Linked DNA regions of Ovis aries. The protein of the gene in region 2 interacts with the protein of the main gene of each other region in a biochemical or structural test. Links are inferred from orthologs where the notes say so. Each region holds a gene or a part of one and is shown on either strand. Other genes may lie near its edges.

What was found.
Region 1: the proteins of AREG (region 2) and S100A4 form a complex in vitro, tested with the Homo sapiens proteins (2 studies listed by IntAct, with this or other methods). The link is inferred for Ovis aries from reciprocal best matches to the Homo sapiens genes AREG and S100A4.

What each region holds. Positions count from the first base shown.
Region 1 is NC_056054.1:103,999,732-104,007,592, forward strand, and holds S100A4 (protein S100-A4), read right to left. Parts: upstream 4,990-7,861; 5' UTR 4,832-4,989; intron 3,994-4,831; 5' UTR 3,979-3,993; coding exon 3,838-3,978; intron 2,828-3,837; coding exon 2,663-2,827; 3' UTR 2,527-2,662; downstream 1-2,526. Other genes in the region: S100A3 (protein S100-A3), read right to left, coding at 6,609-6,773, 7,225-7,359. UniProt on the Homo sapiens protein: Calcium-binding protein that plays a role in various cellular processes including motility, angiogenesis, cell differentiation, apoptosis, and autophagy.
Region 2 is NC_056059.1:90,126,927-90,134,983, reverse strand, and holds the start of AREG (amphiregulin), read right to left. Parts: upstream 4,859-8,057; 5' UTR 4,856-4,858; coding exon 4,573-4,855; intron 3,299-4,572; coding exon 3,068-3,298; intron 2,095-3,067; coding exon 2,044-2,094; intron 418-2,043; coding exon 216-417; intron 1-215.

The DNA of each region.
Region 1 (7,861 bases), on a different chromosome or scaffold from region 2:
TAAATGAGCAGGGAGATCAGAAGGAAGGACTCACCCAGGAAAGAGAGAGCCAGAGAACTCACGCGGCAAACTCGGGCTGCCTGCCACTGCTCTCTGCCTTTATTCCCTTGTTCCAATCCCCAGGAAACCAGGGGAAAGAAGGGCCAATAAGAAGGGGCCAGGGACCAAAGAAGCTTAGGTCAGAGCCTCCTGGGACATGGCTGCAAAGAAACCCCCTTTTGCGAATCTCACCTCACTTGTTTCTAAACAGAGGGGATGGGAGCATACTGAGTTTACCATGGTACATACATTTTCAATCCCAGAAGCTTTGTCTTTCCAACCAAAACCCAGAACTCACAATCTGATGGGAAGACAGCCAGGCTCCCTGGAAAGAAGAATCAGGAGGTGTGCAGGGTATCCACCTATACCTTAGGCTGCTCTTTGTATTGGAGCCCTCCTACCCACCCCAAGAGCAGAACAGATGCAGCTCAAGATGGGAATCAGCGGGGAAAGATGTTTCCTGCCAAGGGCATGGTCAAGACCATTAGCGAGTATGTAGGCTAAGATTTTTAAAGGATTCTTCGACACCTCACTGGTCACCATGGGAAAGAATTGTCAGAGACTCCTGGGGAACTGGGAATCAGGGAGACCAAGGCAGAAATCGGGGACGGGTAGGGCTGGATGATGGGGTAGAGGCTGCAGACTCTGGGGAGCAGGTTCAAGGTGCAGTAATGACCAGGGTGTGAGTCAAGGAGATTTGCCTATATCCTAGGGGAGACTCAGACATTGTTCTGTGATTAGTTGCTCAGGCGTGTCTGACTCTTTGCAGCCCCATGGACTGTAGCCCGCCAGGCTCCTCTGTCCATTAGATTCTCCAGGCAAGAATACTGGAGTGGGTTGCCATGCCCTCCTCCAGGGATCTTCCCAAACCAGGGATTGAAACCAGGTCTCCCACGTTGCACATGGAATCTTTACCATCTGAGCCACCAGGGAAGCCCAAGAATACTGGAGTGGATAGGCTATCCCTTCTCCAGGGGATCTTCCCGACCCAGGAACCCTGTTGGGGTCTCCTGCATTGCAGGCAGATTTTTAATCAGCTGAGCTACCAGGGAAGCCCAGACATTGTTCTACCACCAACCAGTTCAAGAATGAGAAGAGAACAGAGTTAGGGGCTTAGCACCTGTGGCTGATGCCGCCAAACCCTAGCCTGCCTAGATGCTCCCGGCTGCCCCCAATTCCACTCCCACCCCCAGCTGCCAAAGGTAAAGAGGCAGCAGGGACTGGTCGCTAAGCAACAGGAGTTTCCAAAGTAGAGAGTGATGCAGAAGGGAGACTCAGGGGAGGGCACTCCGATGGAAGATGGGCAGACCGGGGCGAGGGATGAGGGGGAGAAGGAAGAAGTGGCAAACTTTTTCCTGGATCAAAATTCTATCCGAGTCTCTGTAGTCACACTCTGAAGGAACATCTGAGTCACCTACCCCACTCCTCTGCAACTTGAGAGAAAAACACAACGTGATGGAAGAAAAGGGGAAAGCTTGAAAGGTCACGGGAACCAGACCTTCTCTGCCTCTGGACCTGCCTTCTACTCACCTCTTCATTGAAGGTCCCTGTACCACCCAAGCAGGGCCTGGAAATCTAACCCCCACCCGTTGCAGGTTGGAGCTGCTGGTCTTTAACCTAAAGAGAAGCACTATCGTGCCTGATATTTTCAGGAGGGGTAGGGAGGAGGGGAGGGGAGTCTCAATTCACTTACCAGATCTCATGCCTAGAATTTTGTCTCCAAAACTCTGGTCGCCTCCCTCTATCTCCCTCCCTCCCAATCCAGTTACTGTCCTACACTCATCAGTTCCAAGGTCCTCTGTCCTCCTCTGATGGAGCATGACTGTTAACTGGTAACGAATCTCATCCCAGGGCCTCCAGGAGAGATAGGCTTAGAGAAGGATGATATGCTCACGCTGTGGCCATCAAGCTGCCCTTCCTCCATGTCCCCTTCCTGATCTGACCCTGGACAGGAAGGATTCATCTTCCCTGGGGTCTGAAGCCAGGCCACTGGAACAGGTGGCAGGCAGGGCCCGAGCTGTAAGTGTCAGGACTGAGCCTTCCTCCCCATCCCACTCTGGCCTCACTACTTCCTCCCCATGACTCAGCCCTTTCCCCACCACCCCAGGGCACCCACACTCCATTCCAGACCCCAACCAGGAGCAGATGTGACCTCCGAATCCATCCCAGCCTCAGTCAGAGATCCTGCCAGAGGCAAGGCTGGGGAGGTGGGATGGGTGAGAACACTGGCTAAGATCCTACAGCCAGGATGTTCCAAGCCTCTGGGGTCCCTTTCCCTGCCTTTGACCCCATCCAGAGTCGACTCTGTCCTTCACACACATGCACAGTCCCCCACATCCCTCTCCACTTTCACTAATCTGCTCTCCACTCTCCAGAAGACTACAGCTCAACTCCCAGCATCCTCCATTACCCCCTCCCCACTGGCCCCACCAGGCATCCCTCAGGCCCCACCCCACGCCCCCGGAGTTTCTCAGACCATCAGCCTCATAGCTTTCAAGAATCTTTATTGAACTTGTTCAGTATTGTGCTCACATCTGGAGGAGCCAGGGTGAGGTGATGCGCCCACCGCCAACAGGGAAGACCCCAGCTGGCAGCCCACCCCTGCCCCACACCTGAGGAGCCTTCATTTTTTCCGGGGCTGCTTATCAGGGAACCCTTCGAAGAACTCATTGCACATCATGGCGATGCAGGACAGGAAGACGCAGTACTCCTGGAAGTCCACCTCGTTGTCCTTGTTGCAGTCCAGGTTGCTCATCAGTTTCTGGAACGCAGCTTCATCCGTCCTTTTCTGCAGGAGGAAGAGGCTACAGGTGGAAACCGGAAGCGAGGTCGGGGTCGGGAAGTGGAGCAGAGCTAGCACCGGGTGAGGTCTGAGCTCCAGACGGGAGCTCAGGAGGACACAGGCACCCCTGCGGGGCCTGGCTCTGGACCTCCAGCCCTAGGGGCTAAGCTACCCCTCAGATGAAGTCTGAGGACCTGGGTACAACTGCGTAAAGGAGACCACAGCCTCTTCTGCCAAGGTCATTTTAAGAGTCCAATCATACAGTGGTCATGAAAGCAATAGATAAACAGCGTAAAGGTTGATACAGACGGCATCTGGGATTGCTCAAGAGAATTCTGTAAGTGTGTGAGTGTCTCCAGAGAACTGTATCTTCACGTCCACAAGCCAAACAGAAACTCAAAAATGGTTTATGGGGCGGGGGGATGGTGATAAAATAGAAATATGAGGTTAACAGATATACACTACTGTATATAAAAGAGATAAGCAACAAGGATTTACTGTATCACACAGGTAACTGTATTCAATATTGTGTAATACCTTATAATGGAAAAAAATCTGAAAAAATAGATATGTGTATATATAGCTAAATCACTTTGCTGTACACCTGAAATAAACACAGTGTAAATCAACGATATTTCAACTTAAAAAAAAAAGGCATATAACTTTCACAGAATCTTAAAAAAAAACAACAACAAGTTTCATTGCTGGAGTGATGGCAAGAGTTTGACCATCGCAGTTCATGATCTCAGCTTTAAACACGGACTTCCTTGGGAAGTTACTTAGCCTCTCTGAGCATCAGTTTCCCTCCAGGGAAGTTGTACAGAGCACCATACCCTATCTGCTCACTCTGCCCTCTTTCTGAGGGTGCTAGGAAGTGAGCTGTGGGTGCTCACCGTGCTTTGGCCCCAGGCAGCCAGGGTAAGCTCTCTGCCTGGAAATTGCCCGTGTCAGCAGCAGATGCCAGCTGTAGGTAATGCTTCACAGAGGACGGGTGCCTCCCAGGCAGTATCACTCACCCCTAAAAAGCTGGGCAGCTCCCGGGTCAGCAGCTCCTTTAGCTCAGACTTGTTGAGCTTGAACTTGTCACCCTCCTTGCCCGAGTACTTGTGGAAGGTGGACACCATCACATCGAGGGCCTTCTCCAGGGGGTACGCCATGGCAGCAATCAGGAGCTGGGGGCAGGGTCACAGAGACAACCTTATTTTCCCCACCCCACCCCCAGCTATGTATTTGTAAATGCCCCCCACTCCCATCCCTCAGGGAGCACATTGGTGACACTGCTCCCATCCAGAAAGGGGTTCAGCTCCTAGCGGGAGAGGGAAATGTATGCTTGGGGCAGTGAACCCCTGCAGGGCCTGGTGCTCAGGCTCCGGGTTCCAGGCAGCCAGCTCCCCAGGAGCACTTTCTCCACCCTCACTTGGTCCATTCACTCACTGGTACGCTCAGCCCACAGCAGCCCCACCCCAGCCCATTCTTTCCCCCTCCCAACACTGGGCTGGGTGAGGCTGCTGGAGGCTTGCCCAGGGGCCTAGCGGAAAAAACCAGTGCATAGGGAGGGGCAGGGTGAGGTGGCAGAGGCACGGATGCAGGGCAGGGACGGGGAGGCCACCCTCCCTTGGGCTGGGCTGCTGGTGCAGGACCGAGGCTCCTAGGACATAACCAGCCAGAGCCCACAGGCGCCTTCTGCCTTCACTGTGCTTTCCACATCCAAGTGTGCCACCCAGCAGACACCAGCCCACACACCCACCAGTGTGTACAGCAGCAACAACGCACGCAAGCCCCGGCATCACAGAACCCCTCAGACAGTTCCCACCAGCCACCTCACACTTGTTGTTCTTTCCTGAGTGCACACGCACTTGTGCACACGCACACCACCCACCCCAGAGCCTCCACATCGGAATCTCACATCTGGACCCGTTTAGTGCCTCTGGCCCCCATCCACCTCCCTTTCTCCTGCACCCAGCCTCGGCCTGACACCTCTTGCATGCCAGTCAGGCGACCACAACTCACCAAGAGAGAGGAAGTGCTGGGGAGAGATGATGGGGAGAGAGGAAGAATGGGGAGAACCCAGCAGTCTGACCTATTTATACCCGGGCCAGGCCCTGCCCATGGCAGGGGATGCGGGAGAACAGGACCCAGCCCTCCTATCGTGGGCTGATGTGGTGAACGCCACGGCCCCCCTCCACCCCCCTCCACCCGCCCAGCCTGGAAAGCTAGCTTCCTGCCCCAGCAGGCACAGACGGACATGGGAGAGCCCCAGGGGCACAGGCAGGGGCCTGGAGGGTGGGTGTGCACAGCTCAGCTCGAGTTTTAGGGAGCTGGGGGGAGGGACAGGTTGTGCCTGGGGCATGAGGGACAAGGAGGACGTGGTCCCACCAGGCAGCCAGCATAGAGGGGTGGAAGGTGGCAGGTGGGAAACTGCCCTGGGATGCGGCAGCCTGAGAAGACAGGGAGGGCCCCTCAGTTTCGGTGCTGGGGACGGCTCACGCTGCCCTGCACCCCTCCCCAAAGAGCTTCCTACCTTGTGGAGTGAGCCCCGGGACAGTGGGAGCTGGGGGTCTGGGAGGAGGAACTGGCTAACACCCAAAGGAGGCTTGGGGACCCCCCGCAGGCACATCCTTGCAGAAAGGCGCTGGATGCCAGAGTGATGGAATGGGGAAGGAGAGGCATGCCTTGGGGCTCAGGGATGGACTGAAGGGACCGAGAGCAGTGGGGTGGCAGAGGGCGTTGGGAGGGGGCTTAGATTTGGCAGAGGGCTTTGGGAGGGGGCTTAGATTTGGGCTGGGTGTCAGGGATGAAGAGGGCAGGGAGCGGAGGAAAGTTAGAGGTGATGCAGCACAAAATGAGGGGAGGCAAGGATCAAGGGAACCTCCCAGGGTAAGGTATGAGCTCAGGGGTTGAGGGAGGGTCAGGAGTCGGGGGTTAACCCCTCAGGTGGCTGTGGCTTCAAGGAGAGGGGTCTGCCTGAAGGTCTCTCTCCTTCCCCCTTCAGCAGCAGAGCACCCCTCCCCAAATGATCAGGGAGCAACACCCTAGTCCAACCCCTGATCAGATTAGTGCTGCACTCTGGGCTCTCATAGCCCAGGGGCCGGGGACAGACCCGCCCTCTCCCCTACGGCCCCACCCTCCTCCCAGAACATCTGGTCTGGGGGACTGAGTTTGACCCTCCTCTCACCTCCTTCACAGCCCAAGGGAGCTTCTTCTTCAGAGACCTGCCCGATACAGACAGACAGACAGACAGAGAGCCCCCCCCGCAAACCATCCTCCCATGGGCATCGTCCCCGAGTTGCCCCCATGCCTTCCTGCTGGACATTAGGACCATTTCATTTCCGCAGGGTCTGAAACTGCCCTCAACCTCCTGTCCTCCCGTGGAAAAGTCCAGGGAGGGGTGACGCCCCAGTGGGACTCTGTCCCCAGGCCGTCCTCTCAGAAGAACCAAACAGAGCCAAGTGATGCCAGTTCTTTATTAGGAACAAAAGGGGCCTTTGCCGCCACAATCTCTCTCCCAGACATGCTCTTCTGGGCCTTGACAGCCACCACCGCTGTGGCTGGTGGGCGGAGGCAGCGGCTGGCTGCTCTTCAAATCACTAGCTGTGATTCTGGGGATGGTCCCCTCGTGTCTCCTGGACCCATGGGTTGACACACCAGGGGCAAACCTGGGAGATTCTAGAAGCAGGAGCCTGGGGGGCTGGGAAGGGGAGAGCTGACGTGCCCAGGATGACCTTGGGGCAGAGTCAGAGCGGTCGAGAGGACCCCAACCTCTGCCCTCTGACAGCAGCCCTGCCCGTTACTGGGAGCAGGAGGGCTTCAGGGGGCTGTCCTTCAAGTACTCATGGCAGCAGATGCAGAGGCAGGCGAGCAAGCGCATGTACTCCACAAAATCCACCTGGCCATCCTTGTTGGTGTCCAGGGCACTGATGAACTGCTTGTAGTCACACTCCCGGAGCGTCGTCTGTGCGGGGTGGGGCGGGGAGGGATGAGGAGGCAGGCTGAGGAGGGCAGAGCAGTCTGGTGCTCACATCCAGCTTCCCTCCCCTCCACGCCTCCTCCCCGCCATCAGCAACCCACGCCCTCAGCCTCAGCCTTAGCCTCCCTGTTCTGAGGATTCACCGTGTCAGTTCCCCTCCCAAATCCTCTTTCTCAGCTCATTTACAGACCGCCAGCTGCGAGTCAGGCATTCTTCACAGAGCTCTCCCTCAGTCCTCCCAACCGCCCTTCCACAGTCTGGGAGGCGATTTTCCTCCACTTTACAGATGAAGAAACTGAGACTCCGGTTGTGCCCATTTCCCTCCCAGCACCCCTCCCCACAGTCTAACTTCCACCCCCTTGTGCCCCAGACTCGGAGCAGGGTCTTTTCCCAGAATTCAAGCAGTGCTTCCTGGGGGCTCGGCCCAGGTGCTCACCGGGGCCCAGGTAGGCAGCTCCTTCTCCAGGAGTTCCTTGAACTTCGCCTGGCAGAGCGAGTTTCCAGAGAACTGTGAATATTCCTGAAAGGTTTTCACGAGAGTAGCCAACGCCTGCTCCAGAAGACTGGCCATATTGACTGTCATGGAACAAAGGTGGGACTCATGGCAGAAGCCGAGTCAGCCCCTCTTCTCACCGCTGCACTTCAAGTGTCCCAAGGACTGAGCCCAGACATGATTAACCCCCTACACGCTTCCGACCCCACAAGCTCCCCCTCCTCTGAGCAGCCCTCCTTGACTACACCAGCTCCTCATTTATTTTCCAACCGCCCCCACCCTCTCCCACCACCACCGCTTGTTCCATTTCTGGACAGAGGCCTTAATTGCCCGACATCACTGCAAACCCCTCAGGGAGCATGGCCCACTCGTCACCTCACTCCCTCACAGTGGTGGTAGTTTAGTTGCTAAGTCACGTTGGACTCTTCAGTGGCCCCATGAACTGTGGCCAGTCAGGCTCCTCTGTCCATGGGATTCTCCAGGCAAGAATACTGGAGTAGTTTGCCACTTCCTTCTCCAGAGGATCTTCCCGATCCAGGGATCAAACCCTGGGTCTCCTGCCTTGCAGGGGTTCTTTACC
Region 2 (8,057 bases):
TTTTTTTTACAGTTTTAAATGGCCATGTTTTAATTGGTTATATGATAACCGTACATAATCTTGACCCACAACACCCAAAATATTTCATATCTGCTTCTTTAAGGAAGTTTGCCAACTATTGGTTTATATATTGAAAAAAAAATGGTTTTTTGCAACTAAGGGTTTCATACACAGTGTTAGAAATATAGAATTCCATATGATTTAAGGCAACTTACTGGCATGATACTGTTTCCAGTTGCTCTAAAAATGTGCATTTTCCATGAATGCAGAAATTTTGAAATTCTGTATCACACAGATTTTTCCTCTTTCTGTTTCTTCTATTTTTTCCATTTTTGCCTCCCTTTTTCTTTCTTTTGGGTTTATCTGAAGTCTTTTCACTTTCCGTTTTGTTTTTCTTAGGCTTAACTACCTGTTCAACTAAAAAAATAAAACAGAAAAGAAAAGATTTATTGACAAATAAATCTTTATTTCTCTCTTTATGTGGAACACCATTTTGAAGACATGAGAGAAAAATGTCCTAGCAGTGAAAGTTCACAGGGTAACAGCCTTATCAGTCACATTTTTTAACACAACTCATATACCTAATTGAACAAAGACAATATCTGTACTATGTGGCACTTAGAATTTGAACACATTTGTTATTTTATTAGCTTAAAAACATATTTTGATTTATTTGTATCAGCATTATTATTACTGATAACAGGAATAATAGGAGTTACTTGTCTAAGAAAATCCATGAAATATTTTAAACATTTGTTTTTACTTTAATACATACCAGGCTCTTGGTAACAAGCATTAATTTAATTAAACCCAAATCACACTTGAATGTATTATTACTATCTACATGATACAGATGAGAAAAAGTAGAGTCGAGTAAAGACAAGTAAATTGCACTAAGACAGTAGCTAGAAAATGGCAGTGCTGGGATGTTAAAACCTATTAATACCCAATTTTATTATGTTTTCTCTGGGAAAAGCTCAGTTCCATTAGTTAAAGTGGGGTTTGAGTACATTTGGTGATTTTCTTTACTCATATCAGTCTTGTGCTATCATAGTTGGGAATTGGTGTGTATTACCTGAGGTGGAGAAAACAGAATTATACATTAGAGTTAACTTTCTTCAACTCCCAGATTACAACAGATTATAATTAACTGATACTTTCTGGGGGCTAATTTCTGTGACCAATCTATTTGAAAAACAGAAGTCCATAAATATTTGTACTTGACGCTTCATGGGTTCATCCTAACTCTTCAGATTCACAGAAACCTTTGTTCAGTGTTATAGCTATGCAGGGTATAATTTACCCACACATTAAATATAGGAAGGAGGAGTTTCTATGTTAGAGCTGTGCATTTTGTTTTACTAATCTCTGCAAAAGTTTATCTGAGCAAGTATTTAGTGAGCCCAGAGAAAAGAGTCATAAAGTCATAATAAAGTTAGTCATAATGGTTCTGCAGTGCCCGGTAAATAGAGAACTCTAGAAACATAAGGAAGGGTAGCAAAGCTGGAGCCCTGTGGTTAAGGTAATAAACAATAAAGTACTTTGAGTGTTTTAGCAGTCATTATATCAACATTAACAATAGTCAAATTAGGAGCAATGTTTAATAGGTGGCTATGCAATTTTTGTGTTGAAACTTCCCTCTGATGATAAGAAAAGTACCCCAAATTAGAACAGTTCCTCTAACAGAAACATTTTAAATCGATATTACAGCACTTTACAGATACATTACAAATTTTAAACAGAGATAGTCACTATGCTGAAGTATTCCAATAGACATTATCTTCATGGATCAATTTTCACTGTATTTTACAGTGCATTGTAATTTTGGCCCCTAACCATTTTCATTCATCATCATCAATTCATTTGGCCTTATGAAATGCTAACTTGAAACATCTTTAAGAGCAAAATTTCTAAATGGTCTCATCTCATTCCCCTCCCAAAATAAGAATTATAGATGGACCCCTTTCCCACCTTATGTAAAAGCACATAAAGGAGGTGTGGAGCAAGGGAGGAAAATGGAGTGTTTGATAAAACTCTTCCCACCTGTCATTGTCTTCATGTTATCACTTGCTATTCCTTCACCAGTTCTGGGAGCTAGACAGAGAGGAGGAGTCAGGGAAACTAAGATCAGGAAAGAAGACGCTTTAAACCTTGCCTTCATAATGGATGCTCCTAGGATATTTAGATCTGATTTACTGATGATCTCGTCTGCCCTCAAACTCCAAAGTAATATGAGAGTAATGAACAACAGTGACCTCTTTCTCTGGTACCCTCATTTTAAGTAAATGCTCTTTTTGAAAAATCAGTTAACAGCAGAAGAGAAGAAATTATAGGTCACTATTATTTAACTGACAAATGAGATTTGGGGTTAAACAGAGATTTTAGTGACATAAAATCCATGCATATTTGTTCTTTAATATTTCCAGAAAGTGACATTACTATTATTATTACCAGTGTCGCAGCACAATACACAGTGGCTAAGATCCAATCATTCTTTTCCCATTACATCTTTCTGTTCCCTTACCTGAGTCTCCAGCACTGCAGGCAAATTCTTTACCAACTGAGCTATGAGGGAAGCCCTATTTGTGTTCAACTGCAGTAATTTAGAGAAAAATGGTGGTGGGGAGTGGCTATAAAAGCTGAGATATAAAGTATATGGGATTGGTTGATGTCTATATTGATTTCTCACATGGGGGAGTGGTCATCTGGCAGAGTATCTGAAATCCAACAGATTGGAGTTTCTCATTCTGGCTGTGGAACTTTGGGCAAAATGCTTAACCTTCTTAAGCTTCAGTTATCACAGCTGTAAAATGTAACAATTCCTACCTCATAAAGTTGTGAAGATTAGACTTCCCAGATATGAAACGCTTGTTAGAGCTCCATACACAAAGGTTGTGCCCACTAAAAGCTCTTTCTATCTCAGTTTCCAGCTTAACTAGTGGGATGCACAACAGTCACACACAAGAAAGCCACTGGAAGATCTTGGAGAGGCTTTTCTTTTGAAGCAGCTTTGCTCATACAAACCACATATCTTATAGGCTATACTGTCACCTTCTCCTCTACTCACCTCTGACTGAATCATCTACAATATAGCCAGATATCTGTGGTTCATTATCATACTCTTCTGCATAGTCATAGTCGAACGCCGAGGACAGTTCGCCACCAGGAGGCGTTTCACTTGCAGAGGAAATCTCACTTCTTAAGGTCACCTCAAATCTGTCAGCACTGTGGTCCCCAGAAAATGGTTCTCCTTTTCCAGAGTAGGTGTCATTGACATCTAATCCAGCAGTATAATGGGCTATGAGAGTGAGAATAAGAGGAGAAAAGAAAAAGTAAAGCGGGGTGCCTTTTCTCTCCAGTCAATTCTGTTCGGAAGGAATGTTTATCTTCAAAGCAGTGACTGCACATGTGTTATTGTTTGTGATTGAGTCACTTATGAAAGCTCCTTCATACTCTGCCAACAAGCAAACTCAACTGTCCCAATTACAGAGCTTCTTTCATTTAGGTTTTCTTTTCCACAGATAGTCTACATTAATTTCCACATAAAAAACCTGCCAAATAGGCAAATTAATGTAATATAATTATTTGAGAGGTAACAATATGACTATAACTTCATATACATATATACAATAGAATGTTACCTGTTCCATTTTAATAAACAGATTCTAGAGATAAATCCAATATCTTTTTAACACATGCTTACCTTTTTAAAAAGAGTATGCATATCAAATGTGAAAAGTAATATGAATAGTAGCTGGTAATAAATTTTCTTACTGTCATTGTCTCTTATTATTGCCCTCACATAGAGAAGAAACTAGGGACTAAGTAAGACTTGGGGGCCAGTTTCAAGCCCCTGCTTTATCGTTTGTTGCTTAGCGGCTAAATCGTGTAGGACTATTTTGCGACCCCATGGACTGTAGCAAGCCAGCCTCCTCTGTTCAAGGAATTTTCCAGGCAACAATCCTGGAGTGAATTATCATTTCCTTCTCCAGGGGATCTTCCCAACCTAGGGCTTGAACCCGCGTCTCCTGCTTGGCAGGCGGATTTTTTTAGGTCTCAAAACAGTGTTAGAGAGGTGCTTTTAAGTAGAACTTCTCCCTGGGACGATGCCAGGCCCTCTAGAATGGTAAAAACAAAATCACTTGACAGAGGAGACGGAGAATCTAGGTAGGAGGTAGAACTCCTTGGTCTGGGACTTAACTACTCTCCTCCAAGATCTCTGGAAATCACTTTACCGCTCTGGACCTCTGTTTCTTTATCTGTAAAAGAAAGGGTCTGGATCACAGGATCTCTAAGCTCTCCTTCCCTCTGGACTAAAGTGAGAGTACAAAGATTCTCAGGCACCCTCCTGCTGGCAGACACCCGGCCTCTTTTCTCTACCTCCATAGGAGGGGCCGGTATGTCGATTACTTTCCACCGGACAGAGTCGGGGGACACCCAGAGGCGGCTTTTCTTTTTTTTTTTTTCTTTTTTTTTTTTTTTTTTTTGAGAAGCAGCAGCAAAATCCAAGAGGAGACCTGTTTGCCCTCGGTGGGAGAAGCTGCGGGCAGCTCAGAGCCGGGATGTCCTCACCTGAGCCGAAGATGAGGAGCGACAGCACCACGGGCGCCGGCGGCAGCAGCGGGGCTCTCATTGGTCCCTCGGAGCGGCGGCGTCGCGGTCTCTGGGGCAACTCGGCCGGGAGCTGCGGGCGGGAAGAGGCGGTGGTGGCCGAGAGCTGGGACGCGGGGAGCCGCGTGGCCGAGCTCGCAGGCCCGGCCAGCCTGGGGCGCTGGAGGCAGCTCCTGGAGCTCGTCTCGGGATGTCTGGGCTCAGGTTCCCTGGGCTCAGGCTCGGGCGCCAGGTGTGCGAACATTCCGGAGGTGCTGCGCGCACCTGCCGCTTTATATGCCGGTCATCTCCCGTGACGTCACGCCGCCGCGGAGGGTGGAGGCGGGCGGCCTCCCGGGAAGAAGTTACTACCCGAAAACCACACACGGATGCCAGGCGCCCCACCTCCCCGGAGCGCAGAGAGCCGCTGGAAGGAAGTGAAAATTAAACCTCTCGCTGCAAGCTGAAAAATCAAAAATAAATTACCAGATCCATACAAGGGCCGGGAGTGGAGTTTCGGAGCTAGGAGCTGACAGTCAAAAGTCCCGAACTTTCAACCCATCTGAAAATCCTCGGAATATACTTTGGTTGATCTTAGTGTTACCACAGACAGGAATTAACTAGAAAAAAAATCCATTTTAAAATGTTAAAGGAACTTAAGATCAGGAGTGACTTAACAATGGCCCGATGTCTTTAACAATAACGGTCATAATATGACTACAGAGCCCACCTCCTAATGAGAAGCTGCTTTATTTACCTTATCTCACCCGGGGGCCCTTCCCCACCCACTACGGTGAAGTGGTCAGAATTTCCAACCACCTCCCGTCCAATGTCTTTTTGTGGCCCAGGGACCCGTCCTTGTCAAAGTTATTTATTGATTTTTTTTTTTTTTTTGGCAGAACAATACACTAAAAATATTACCAATACCACCTCACTCAAAACCTAGGGAGGTCTAAGTATCATTTCCCCTGTTTTACAAGAGGGACAAATGTCAGCTTTACAAGGCAGGGAGGACTTCACACAGCTGGTCATGGCAGGAGCCAGATAGATTCATCTTCAACCTCATCTCACTCTTAAACTCTCTTCCCACTCTGATAAAAGGATTTAGACTAAACTTCTCTTTGAAAAGAGAATTTCTAGGTTAAATAATATTTAACCTAAAGGAATAATCTCTGCTGATAGCATATTGGCATTGGATGAAGAGTGGTGACCAAAATTTTGCTTCTGGAATCCCAAGACAGAATGGGCCAGCTTTGAGAGTCCATTTAGAACCTAGTAGAGCATTTTAATCATGACAAGTAGATAAAGTGCAGAGAGAGGGAGAGAGTTGATTAATTTGACTAACTTCGATGTGGAGACAACTCCATAACTTGATTTTTCATGACTTGAAGAAGAGAAAAAAGCATTGTTCTAAGTATTTCTTTGTCCTGAAGGTATCTGTCTCTTCCGTGACTGTTCCAGTAAAACAGTTCTTTTTAGGAATGTGGGTCACAGTGGCATGTGTCCTAATTCTGGGAAACTTTTTTTAAAGTTGCGTGTTTTTTAATGACATGTCATAATAATGGAGGCTAAATAGTACCTTACATTTAGTAGGATAAAATAAACAGTCATGACTCATGTCTTTGCTCCTATTGGACGTTTGTTGAGACAATATTTTGTATATTTCACCTGTTTTCCATTTTATGCAGGGAGATAATTAAATGATGACCAGTTGCCAGTAGCTCAAGGAGGTGAAAGTCAGATACAGAGTAAAGTAGGTCTGTTATATCAGATAAGAAGGATTCAGTGCCATGAAAAACCAGGATGCAGTTTAGTTTTGTTCTGTGTATCATGGAAAGCATTGTGGAAAGATGGAGAGGTCACTCAATGGTCTTCCCCGAAGCAAGTGTAAATGAAAAGAATACCTGAAGACAAGGTGTGACCGAGAGTGGAAAATCAGATGAGAAAGATGACCCTGCCCATTCCAGGGTGAAGCAGGGGCCTGCATGGTCATCTCTTTTGGTGGATGAGGTGACTGTGATTCAGACAGACTCACATTCTTACCAGCAGATTTCAAAAGATGGTGGAGATTTTGTTTAGTGTGCAGATTGTTGCCTAGGCTGGTATATCTTTCTGCTGTCATAGGTTTTGATTCTGTTCTCATCCTTCTTTTCCTTCTTCCTCTTTCTTCTTATTGAAAGTGAAAGTGGAAGTAGCTCAGTCACGTCTGACTCTTTGTGACCCCATGGACTCTACAGTCCATGGAATTCTCCAGGCCAGAACGCTGGAGTGGGTAGCCTTTCCCTTCTCCAGGGGATCTTCCCAACCCAGGGATCTTCCCAACCCAGGGATCAAACTCAGGTCTCCTGCATTGCAGGCGGATTCTTTACCAGCTGAGCCACCAGGGAAGCCCTTCTTCTTATTGAGGTGAAGGCAAGTTGTGCACACCTATCATTGAAAGTGTTTCACATTTAAGTGAAAGTGGGCTCTTTACATTGGAAGTTGTTTTGTCTTTTCTCCAGTTGGAAATTTAGAGGGTGATAATTTACATTGGTGTGGAACATAACATAGCATCATAGGGACTGAGTGCTTAGTATGAACTTGAGATTCAAACCAATTGAGTTTTCATATACAAATTCCACCATATAGAAAATTACTTAATATCTGAAAGACTCTGGATTCCTCATCTGAAAATAAGAATAAAGATACCCACGTGCTGTAAAGCAGATTAGGTAAGATACATAAACAATAGCACAGATCCTACTTGTAGTGAGTACACAATAAATTAATAAACTTGACTGTTATTAAATATTATTAACCTTAACATTGTGATAGTTACATTATATTAATTACACTGAAGAACTAAGTGACCCTTAGAAATGTAGCTACTCACAGAGTAAGTGATCAGTAATCTCTTCCAATACTTTCAAGCAATGAACTTTGTACCCACTTCACATTAAGATTAAGCATTTTGGCATTATGGTGCATCACAGGATATCATGGGGTGTCATAATAGTTGCATCACAAAGGCAGCACCCCTAGATGACTCATGGCGTTCAGGAATACATGCATGAGAGGGAAATCAGCCCCATATAAGTGTGGGATTCTTTACATTCTGATTGCTAAGTTGAGACCAGGAGGAGCAATTTCAAAAAAATTCAAGTAGAGAAGCAACTCTTTTTATCCTAATAAATTCACAATTCCCTCATTGGTTTGATATTAAAGGCAGCCCCAAAGGCAAATGTTCCTAGCCAGTCACACACTCTCTTGGTGCCTAGTCTCTAGAGCCTGATGACATTTTATATGTAGGGTGGAAAGAAAGTCACTTTGACTCTGCTAAAAGATATTCTATAGAACCCACAGTAGACTTAGTTTCTGTTCATATAGCTGATCTTGAAATTTTACAAATAGCGTCAGGGTCTGAGTAAATATTACATCATGGTCATTTTTATGAGTCAACATATGAACTCTCAAACTAAGATTAAGAA